Linked DNA regions of Arabidopsis thaliana. The protein of the gene in region 1 interacts with the protein of each later gene in a pairwise test. Each region holds a gene or a part of one and is shown in the gene's direction. Other genes may lie near its edges.

What was found. The genes of interacting proteins can lie anywhere in the genome.
Region 2: the proteins of ARFB1A (region 1) and PRS2 interact in a two-hybrid assay, tested with the Arabidopsis thaliana proteins (one large-scale study listed by BioGRID).

The regions. Positions count from the first base shown.
Region 1 is NC_003071.7:6,652,149-6,656,060, forward strand, and holds ARFB1A (ADP-ribosylation factor B1A), read left to right. Parts: upstream 1-1,514; 5' UTR 1,515-1,798; coding exon 1,799-1,946; intron 1,947-2,287; coding exon 2,288-2,358; intron 2,359-2,447; coding exon 2,448-2,567; intron 2,568-2,664; coding exon 2,665-2,783; intron 2,784-2,879; coding exon 2,880-3,039; 3' UTR 3,040-3,353; downstream 3,354-3,912. UniProt on the Arabidopsis thaliana protein: GTP-binding protein involved in protein trafficking; may modulate vesicle budding and uncoating within the Golgi apparatus.
Region 2 is NC_003070.9:11,680,127-11,685,047, forward strand, and holds PRS2 (phosphoribosyl pyrophosphate (PRPP) synthase 2), read left to right. Parts: upstream 1-1,607; 5' UTR 1,608-1,906; coding exon 1,907-2,050; exon of another isoform or gene 2,051-2,462; coding exon 2,463-2,627; intron 2,628-2,713; coding exon 2,714-2,962; intron 2,963-3,041; coding exon 3,042-3,185; intron 3,186-3,272; coding exon 3,273-3,440; intron 3,441-3,517; coding exon 3,518-3,587; intron 3,588-3,750; coding exon 3,751-3,832; intron 3,833-3,922; coding exon 3,923-4,103; 3' UTR 4,104-4,394; downstream 4,395-4,921. Other genes in the region: AT1G32375 (F-box/RNI-like/FBD-like domains-containing protein), read left to right, coding at 43-177, 275-553.

The DNA.
Region 1 (3,912 bases):
CTAAGAAGCGCAGATATTGTCGCATGATAAGCCTGAAGTTACTAAATATACTCTCAAAGCCTACAAACCCATGTATCTTAGGATTTAATAGCAAGTTTAGATTCATTTAAGTTTAGATTCCTAGCAACTCTCCTTTTCTCTTATATGAAATCAATCTAAGAATCTTTGATCTTTGTGTTCTTAATTAATATTTCATTTTTCTTATGACTTCCTTTCATCTAAATAAAGCTTTGAATGTGGGATAAAAGGAAACTTTATTTTGTTTGTTGCTCTCGTCTTTTTTTTTTTTTTTTTTTTTCAAACCGATGTTAATTACTTTGAAAGTTTTATCTTATGTATTGGTTTTATTTTTCTTAAGCCACTTCTGGTTTTCATATACACTAGCACACCTCTACCTGATTTTTTCTTATAAATATATATCGTAAAGATGATAAAACAAGTAAATAAATGTAAAACAGTTGAACTTAAAAACTCTCAAATAATTTTAGTCACTTCAAGTAAAACGATTTCCAGTTAATTCTGACATTATGTGAATAAACTTAAGCTTTCCGTATATATTCATAGGAGAAATCTCAACATTTTCTTTAACAAAAAAAAAAAAAGAGAAATCTCAACATTTTTTGGATATGAAATAAATTAACTAAATGAATGATTTGTTGATATTAATTTGAAAAAAAATTGTCAACTACCTGAAGTTTAGCAAACCACATGGCCATCAATGCCAAGTATACTAGGATATTCAGCTAACTGAAGTATATGGATTGAATGACAATATATACGAAGTATACGATGTTATATGATCAACATTATAAATGGAGAATCTCAGGTTAACCGCTGGACTGATTCCGACGTTGACCAACAAAAATATTCAAAAATAATATTTCAATTTACTTTTAATATTAAAAAAATATATATTGTGTTGTATAATAATAATAAAATCTATATCCAATATAAATATATTTTGTATATATATTGAATGCATTAATTCTTATAATAGTTTGTTTTTCAATTTCAAAACTAAATTAAGAGTGTAATTTTTTTTAAGAAGTTATTTTTTTAATTAATAGTTATTTATATTATTAATTAAAAATATTAATTTCTTATTTCATTAAAGTTTTACTAAAATTTCAATTTTGAATTTTAAAAATTATCATACAAAATTTAGATTAAAAATTTATATACTCAAGTTTTTTGCATATCAGTTTCTAATGAAATCATATGTATTGGTTTTTTTATTCTAATGATTTATTTCTAATGAAAATAAGAAGTTAATATTTTTTTAATTGATCATCTTCCCTTACTTAATTGTTTCTAATAAGACTTATGCTCTGTTTTATTATTGCTTATCAAAAATCCGGTTTGATATTTTGTTCCATTTACCATCTTTATGCAATTCCAGTTTCGTGTCTTTCCTATGCACCTCTAATAATATTCCATATCGCTGGTGATGTACTCAAGGAATAAGATTCTGATATATGCTTCTAGAATGAGAAAGACAGAACACAGAATCTGACCAGTCCTGCTCTGTGTCCTAATGAGCTTTCGAGTTTGGAAAAGGACACAACATTACCTCTCTTCCTTAGGGAATTTATTCTTTTCCAGCCTTTCTTCTAATGGGACTTTGCCTTTTTGCTTGCCTTTACAATCTGCAAATCAAACTTTCAGTTATTTTTTCTTTTCTCTCATGTGTGTAAAATACTCTTCATAGATCTCATATAAGTCCAAGCTTGAATTGAAATATCAGAAGCTGTGTTTCTTTCACTGTATCTAAGATCCTTGTTTTTGTTTTTTGTTCTACATGGGAGCCAGATTTTCACGTATAGCGAAAAGGTTTCTTCCTAAAAGTAAAGTAAGGATTTTGATGGTTGGTCTTGATGGTTCAGGGAAGACTACCATCCTTTACAAGTTGAAGCTTGGAGAAGTTGTCACAACAGTGCCTACTATTGGTATGTGACATGGACTTTTCTTCTCTTGTTTTTTTGGTTCTGTTGAGACTTCTATCTATTGATTCTGAAGTTAGAGCAAGATGTTGATTCACTCTATATATCTATTTATTGAGGATTATGAAGGAAACTTTGTTTGGCTAGTTAGAACTGCTCCAACCATATATACTTTTGTGTATCTTTATTGTGGATCATAGCTCATGTGTAGATACTAGATCATAGTTACATTTTTATTTACCTTTGATTGTGTTTGCATTGGTGAGGAAGAATATTCTTAATAGCTTGATAAATCTCATATTGATGATTAACCTTTTTTGGTTTTTGGTTGTTTTGCGATTTTCCAGGTTTCAACCTCGAGACAGTAGAATACAAAGGCATCAATTTCACTGTATGGGATATAGGAGGACAAGAGAAGGTAAACTCCATTTTACTTCTCTATAAGTGCATATAAACACATATTTCTCTTCCTTTGCCTCTCCAGGCTTGACCTGTCCGGTTCAACAGATTCGCAAATTGTGGAGACACTATTTCCAGAACGCGCAGGGGCTCATCTTTGTAGTGGACAGCAGCGATAGTGAAAGGTTATCAGAAGCTCGAAACGAGCTGCATCGCATACTAACCGATGTAAAATTCATATGAAACTTTAAAATGTTACTTATTGTCTCCTCTTTTCTTTTTTTTAACCCTAACAACTTTCTTTATTGGTAAAAAAAATCCACAGAATGAACTAGAAGGTGCATGTGTACTTGTCTTTGCGAACAAGCAAGATTCGAGAAATGCTTTACCTGTAGCCGAGGTTGCCAACAAACTTGGTCTACACAGCCTATCCAAACGTTGTTGGTAATAATACTAAAAACTTCCTCTCGTGTTGGTTATATATATATTTAGAGGTAGAGGGATAAACAAAAACAATTTTTGTGATTGTGATTGGTGCAGGCTTATACAAGGAACCTCAGCTATCTCTGGGCAAGGATTATACGAAGGACTTGAGTGGCTATCGACAACAATCCCCAACAAACCCGAACGGTCTACTTCGGTTAGTAGTTTCCGGAGTGATTCCTATGAGAGGAAGCTGGTCCGAGGTCCGAGGTATTAAAAGGCTTTAAATGGTTACTCCAACGTAAAAAACAGAACGCACCAGAAAGGGCAAGTGTATTTTTGTACTAGCTTGTTTGGTATACGCTCTGATTCGTACGAGCAACCAAAATAGCTCTCTTCTGCGTTCTATATTTGTATGATTATGTTGTTTTGTTTTCAATGTTTCTCATTGAGAACCATATTTGACTATTACTCATATTATGGTGTGAATAAGGTTTTCTAGGGTATATATCTTTACGAGTTTACGTACACCCTTTACATGATGAATATTTTCTCGTTCTTACTTTAGAATTTAACATATTTTATTTTATTTTTGATAAGAATATAAATCTATATAATAATAACAATCTTAATAAATATTGCAGTTGTAAACAATTGTGTTTTTTTTTGTTATTGCAACTTTTCGTTAAAATAATTTTTTCTGTTTTAAACTAAAAACATATATTTTACGGTTATATTTTCTTAGAAAATTGCAATTCGTATAAATGCATATTACTGAATAAAATTAAGAAAGCAATAACAAAATTATGTAAATTATGTTATAAAGACACAATTGCAAAAGACATTTATTCGGATTACTATTATTATATCAAAAATATTACAACAGTTCAAAAAATAAACCGAAAATTACAATGGTTCGTCAGGTAAACTAAATATTGCAATAGTTTAATGAAACAGTTGCAAAATGTATCTCAATATTTGTTTTAATGGTTAAAAATTAAACAATATTATGAAAAGTTATACCAAGAGATACGATCGTATATGTTAAATATACCGAAAGTTGCAATAGTTCATCAAATAAACTAAAAGCTACAACGGTTCATAAAACAAAATCAAAAGTTGCAATGATTTATCAAAAACATTCTTTGAT
Region 2 (4,921 bases), on another chromosome or scaffold:
TTTCTTTGTGATCAAATTACTTATGTAGTGTCTCTTATGCAGGATGCTTATCCTGTTGGTAGTGTCTTCCACTGTCTTGTACGTTTAACGATATGCACATGTGAGACAGAGTGGCTAAATCTACTTATGTGTGTACTCAGAGATTCCCCTAAATTACGAGAACTCAAACTTGTTAAGGTCTGCAGATCTAAACCTGAATTATTCAGTCTCTATGATATATCAGCATATATTTTCAGTAGAATAACAGTGTGATGATATCTTACTTTTATCTTAGAACCATGTCTATCGATCTCATCAACCGCGGCCGTGCTGGAATGAACCGAGTGCAGTTCCTGAATGTCTGTTGACAAGTCTTGAAACTCTCGAATGGGTAAAATATGAAGGAACAGAAGAAGAGAAAGAAGTAGCGGCATTCATCTTAAGAAGTGGAAGCTGTTTAAAGAAGGTGACTATCTCCTCTAAATCCACTGACATCAACAAGAAATTTGAGATGCTCAAGGAGTTGTCATTGTTGTTCAGGCGTTCACCTACATGTCAGATTGCATTCGACTGAAGTTTAGTTCAGTCTTCTTCATTAGTCAAGTTGGTCTGTGTTTGATCCAATCTTATAGACTTGTGTTTTCTCTTCTTAAAGAAACTAGTTTTCCCTAGAAACTTATGTTGCTCAAGTTTTTATTCTTTTGACGTTGTGTATTCTTATGTCTTATAACCCTTTTGAGTTTTTATCTTATTTAGCTCTGCTTCTCACTGCATATTCTTCGACAAGCGAAGAATGACGTTCTAAAATGGTCAATGAACTTAGAGACATTTTGGTCTTTTTGTTTAGTGTAATCCGTTATGAGCTTGGATTTAGGTAGATGGAAATATGAATTGACCACGTGTAATCATTTAGAGCAAAATGATATTGCAAATGGTCTAATGGACTCGGATACGCAAGAGGTCGTGGCAATGGCTAATCACATCTCCTTATATCTTTAATGTGTTAAATATGACATTGTGGCTTCTTATTATTATAACCCGTTTGCCTTTTCAGTTTCACACAAATGGCAACAAATCCTTATGGCTGCATATGTTTTCAATTTGGATCTCTTTAAACTCAAAACAAGTATTAAGGCAATCTCTATGATGTTTTGTAAGTACCTTGAAGAGGTCTTTTGTAAGTTGTAACCTTTTTTATGTAGGAGAAGAATCACATCTTCACCTTTTGAGTTTTTGACTTGTTCTTTCCAAAATTTGCACTTTTCAATTGTTGCAATGGCCAATATTAATGATGTGACCCAATCTATTTGTATAGCCGAAAGAACCCAAAATACAAATGGTTTTTTTTTTAAAAAAAGTTTTTTTGCTGAAAATATATTCTTTTTTTAGAAAATTTATGTTCATAATTAGTTATTGGAATCCTAAAGTGGCATGAAAAATGCTTAGAAACAAGTGGGCATTAGGAATCAGTATGAGATTCTTTAGAATTTGTGTTTGAAAACAATTTCTCTTTTCGACTCCTTCAATGTTAAGTCCTACATGACACGTAAGCTGTGAAAGCTACGAGCAGAGACGATTTTAGCCATCAACCAAACGACACCGTTTCTAAACAATATTTATTTTTGTATGTTTTTAGTGTAACAAAATTACAATTGAAAATTCCAAATTTCGAGAAAGAGAGAAGACCCATCGCCGCACCGCTTGAGTCACTCTTCTTCCCGGAGAAGAAAGAAACAACAACAAACATATTCACCATTACCTTCTTCTTCTCCTCCTTCTCCTTCGTTTCTCACTCCAAATTTGGAACCCTAAATCCTAATATCCTTCGATTAGTTCTCTTCTCTATCGGAATTCTTAACGTTGAGAGGAGTCTGATATTTGCCGTGACTCAAGAGATTCCAGGTGTTTCCGACGTATATATTTACATATGGCGTCGTTGGCTCTGACTTCTCCTCCCTCCGTTAAGATTCCTTCGTATCTCTCCTCGTCGTCTTCGTCTCTCTTCTCCCGTTCCTCGATTTCTTTCAGGACCACTGAGTCTCGCTCTCGAATCTGCGTTTCTGGTTACGCGGTGAGCATTGAGCATTTTTTTTCCTTCATGTTAATGAATGAATTCGATATTCACATTGCGTTTCATGTATTTGTTATAAGAAAATTCAAATTGTTTTTGGATGAATCTATGCTTTGATGATCTGTGAGATTTTTCTGGATTTAGTAGATGCTATTAGCAGTTCGTTTACAGGCTAATTTTGTGAGAATTTGTGTGTTGTCGTCGCTCTTGGCTTGACTTTGTCCATGTATGTGACTGTAGAATTTGGAATTTGGAACTTTCAGCTTTGGAATCTTGTGTGTTGAATACTGTTCATGAATGTTTGGTTATTCTTATGTTTGTAGAGAGATGTAAGAGAGATCGTGTGTTGGTTAAATTTTGTGTCTAACATTTTGAATTTGGTTTCACAATTCCTTGTCATTGTGTTTGATAGAAATGCAATTTGCCTAAGGCACTAAACGGGAACGCTCGTGTTCCAATTATTAATGAGACGACAATTCCTAAGTTCTTTGATTCTTCACGGTTGGAGAAATCGGTTAGTAGAAACAATACTAAGCTCAAGTTGTTCTCTGGTACTGCTAATCCAGCTTTATCTCAGGTAGTTTTCTCGAGACCTTTGGTTGTCTTTTTTAATCAAGTTTTCTTCTGGTGAAGTATATGCTAAACTCTTGGAATTTTGTGAAGGAAATTGCTTGGTATATGGGTCTGGAGCTTGGGAAGGTTAGCATAAAGAGATTTGCTGATGGAGAGATCTATGTTCAGCTCAAAGAAAGTGTTAGAGGTTGCGATGTCTTTTTGGTGCAGCCTACTTGCACTCCAACTAATGAGAATCTCATGGAGCTATTGATCATGGTGGATGCTTGCCGAAGAGCATCAGCTAAGAAAGTCACAGCTGTGATTCCGTATTTTGGATACGCAAGAGCTGATAGAAAGGTAGGTTCTTTTTGTCTTCTTCAATGGTAGATACAGTATGTCAAGTAATTTCATCTGATGTATCTATTGATGTTTTCAGACACAAGGGCGTGAATCTATTGCTGCCAAATTGGTAGCAAACCTTATAACAGAAGCCGGTGCAGATAGGGTTCTGGCTTGTGATCTTCATTCAGGACAATCCATGGGTTATTTTGACATACCAGTGGATCATGTCTATTGCCAGGTATCTTAAGTTTCAACCTTTTTGATAGACAAGCCTCTACTTTTTATGCAACCTTTAAAATCTTACACAATTGTGATTACATTTCAGCCTGTGATACTTGATTATCTTGCTAGCAAGTCAATTTCCTCTGAGGATTTGGTAGTGGTTTCTCCTGATGTTGGTGGAGTAGCCAGGGCACGTGCATTTGCTAAGAAATTATCTGATGCACCACTTGCCATTGTCGATAAAAGGCGTCACGGCCACAATGTCGCTGAGGTAAAAATTTAAATTTACCTTCATTTTATCCTTTCTACACGCAAGTTCTCATGTGTTGATAATACTCTTTCCCACAGGTCATGAACCTAATCGGTGATGTTAAAGGGAAGGTGGCAGTAATGGTGGATGATATTATTGATACAGCTGGTTAGTAAAAATTGCCAGAAACTCCTCTTTCCGTTGATATGTTTGTTATAAACAAAAGCTTCCAAACTCTAGGCCATAATCGAGATATTACTAAATAGAGATTATTCTGTGATTTGCAGGCCATACATTACTAAGAACCAGTTTTTTATCTTCTTATTTACAGGAACCATTGTGAAAGGAGCAGCTCTTTTACACGAGGAGGGTGCACGTGAGGTTTACGCTTGCTGTACACACGCTGTTTTCAGGTAAACCCATTAGCTTGAGTTTTACCAGTTCTTCTCCATTTTCGTTTATGAAACTAAGAGACCGTTTTCTTGAATGAATCAATGTCACAGTCCTCCTGCGATAGAGCGGTTATCAAGCGGTTTGCTGCAAGAAGTGATAGTGACGAATACTTTACCAGTAGCGGAGAAGAATTACTTCCCGCAGTTAACGATATTATCGGTGGCTAATCTTCTGGGTGAGACCATTTGGCGTGTCCATGATGATAGCTCCGTTAGTAGTATTTTCCTTTGATACTTGTTGGTTTTTGTTAATCGGTTTAGGATCGGTCTAAGTTCCTCTTTTTTGTTCTACTTCTTCTCGACAGTTTCTAGTCTAACCATGTCTTGCTTCTCTTACTCACCTAAAGTATGTCACAGTTCTATCTTTTCTTCTTTTTAGCATAATAGAGTTATGAGATATCAATGACAATAAAATTTTAATATTTTGGTTTATTGAAAATAATTACATTATGGTGTAAACATTATTTCTCAGGATTTATTGAGAATTTCTAAATTAACAATTTCCCCAACTTGCATATTTCTGGCAATAAATAGTTTTGGCATTTTATGAAATAAGTGACTAATTTTTATGGTTTAGTGTTCTTTCTTCGGTTAACCAATTTTTATTGCAAAAAAAAAGGAACAAATTAGGGTTTTATCAAGCCCGTCGTTGCATATAAATAGTCTTTTCATCGCCGCTTGAAACAGATAAGTGTTTCCTTCGTCTCTCTGTGGTCCGATATGTCTCCCTATAATCTCTGTTTCATAGTTTAATCATATTCTTTTGTGGTTTTGAATTCTTATGTTCGAAAATCTTGAGTAGTTGCTGTGATGTAACTACCGTGTGCCAGAGATGAAGTTATTCATCGTTGACGGCAAACATAACCTTAGAGTTCTAAGCTTTTCTTTTGTTCTATTTTTTGGTGTGTGGTCGAAGTGACGATAAAGAATTCACAGTCTGTCAATCCACTGACAACATTTGAGTGATGTTATTGTGATATCTCGACAGGTTCTGATCTACTCTTAATAAAAACCCTCCCAATGATTTTTTTTTATTAGATCATTAGTTTT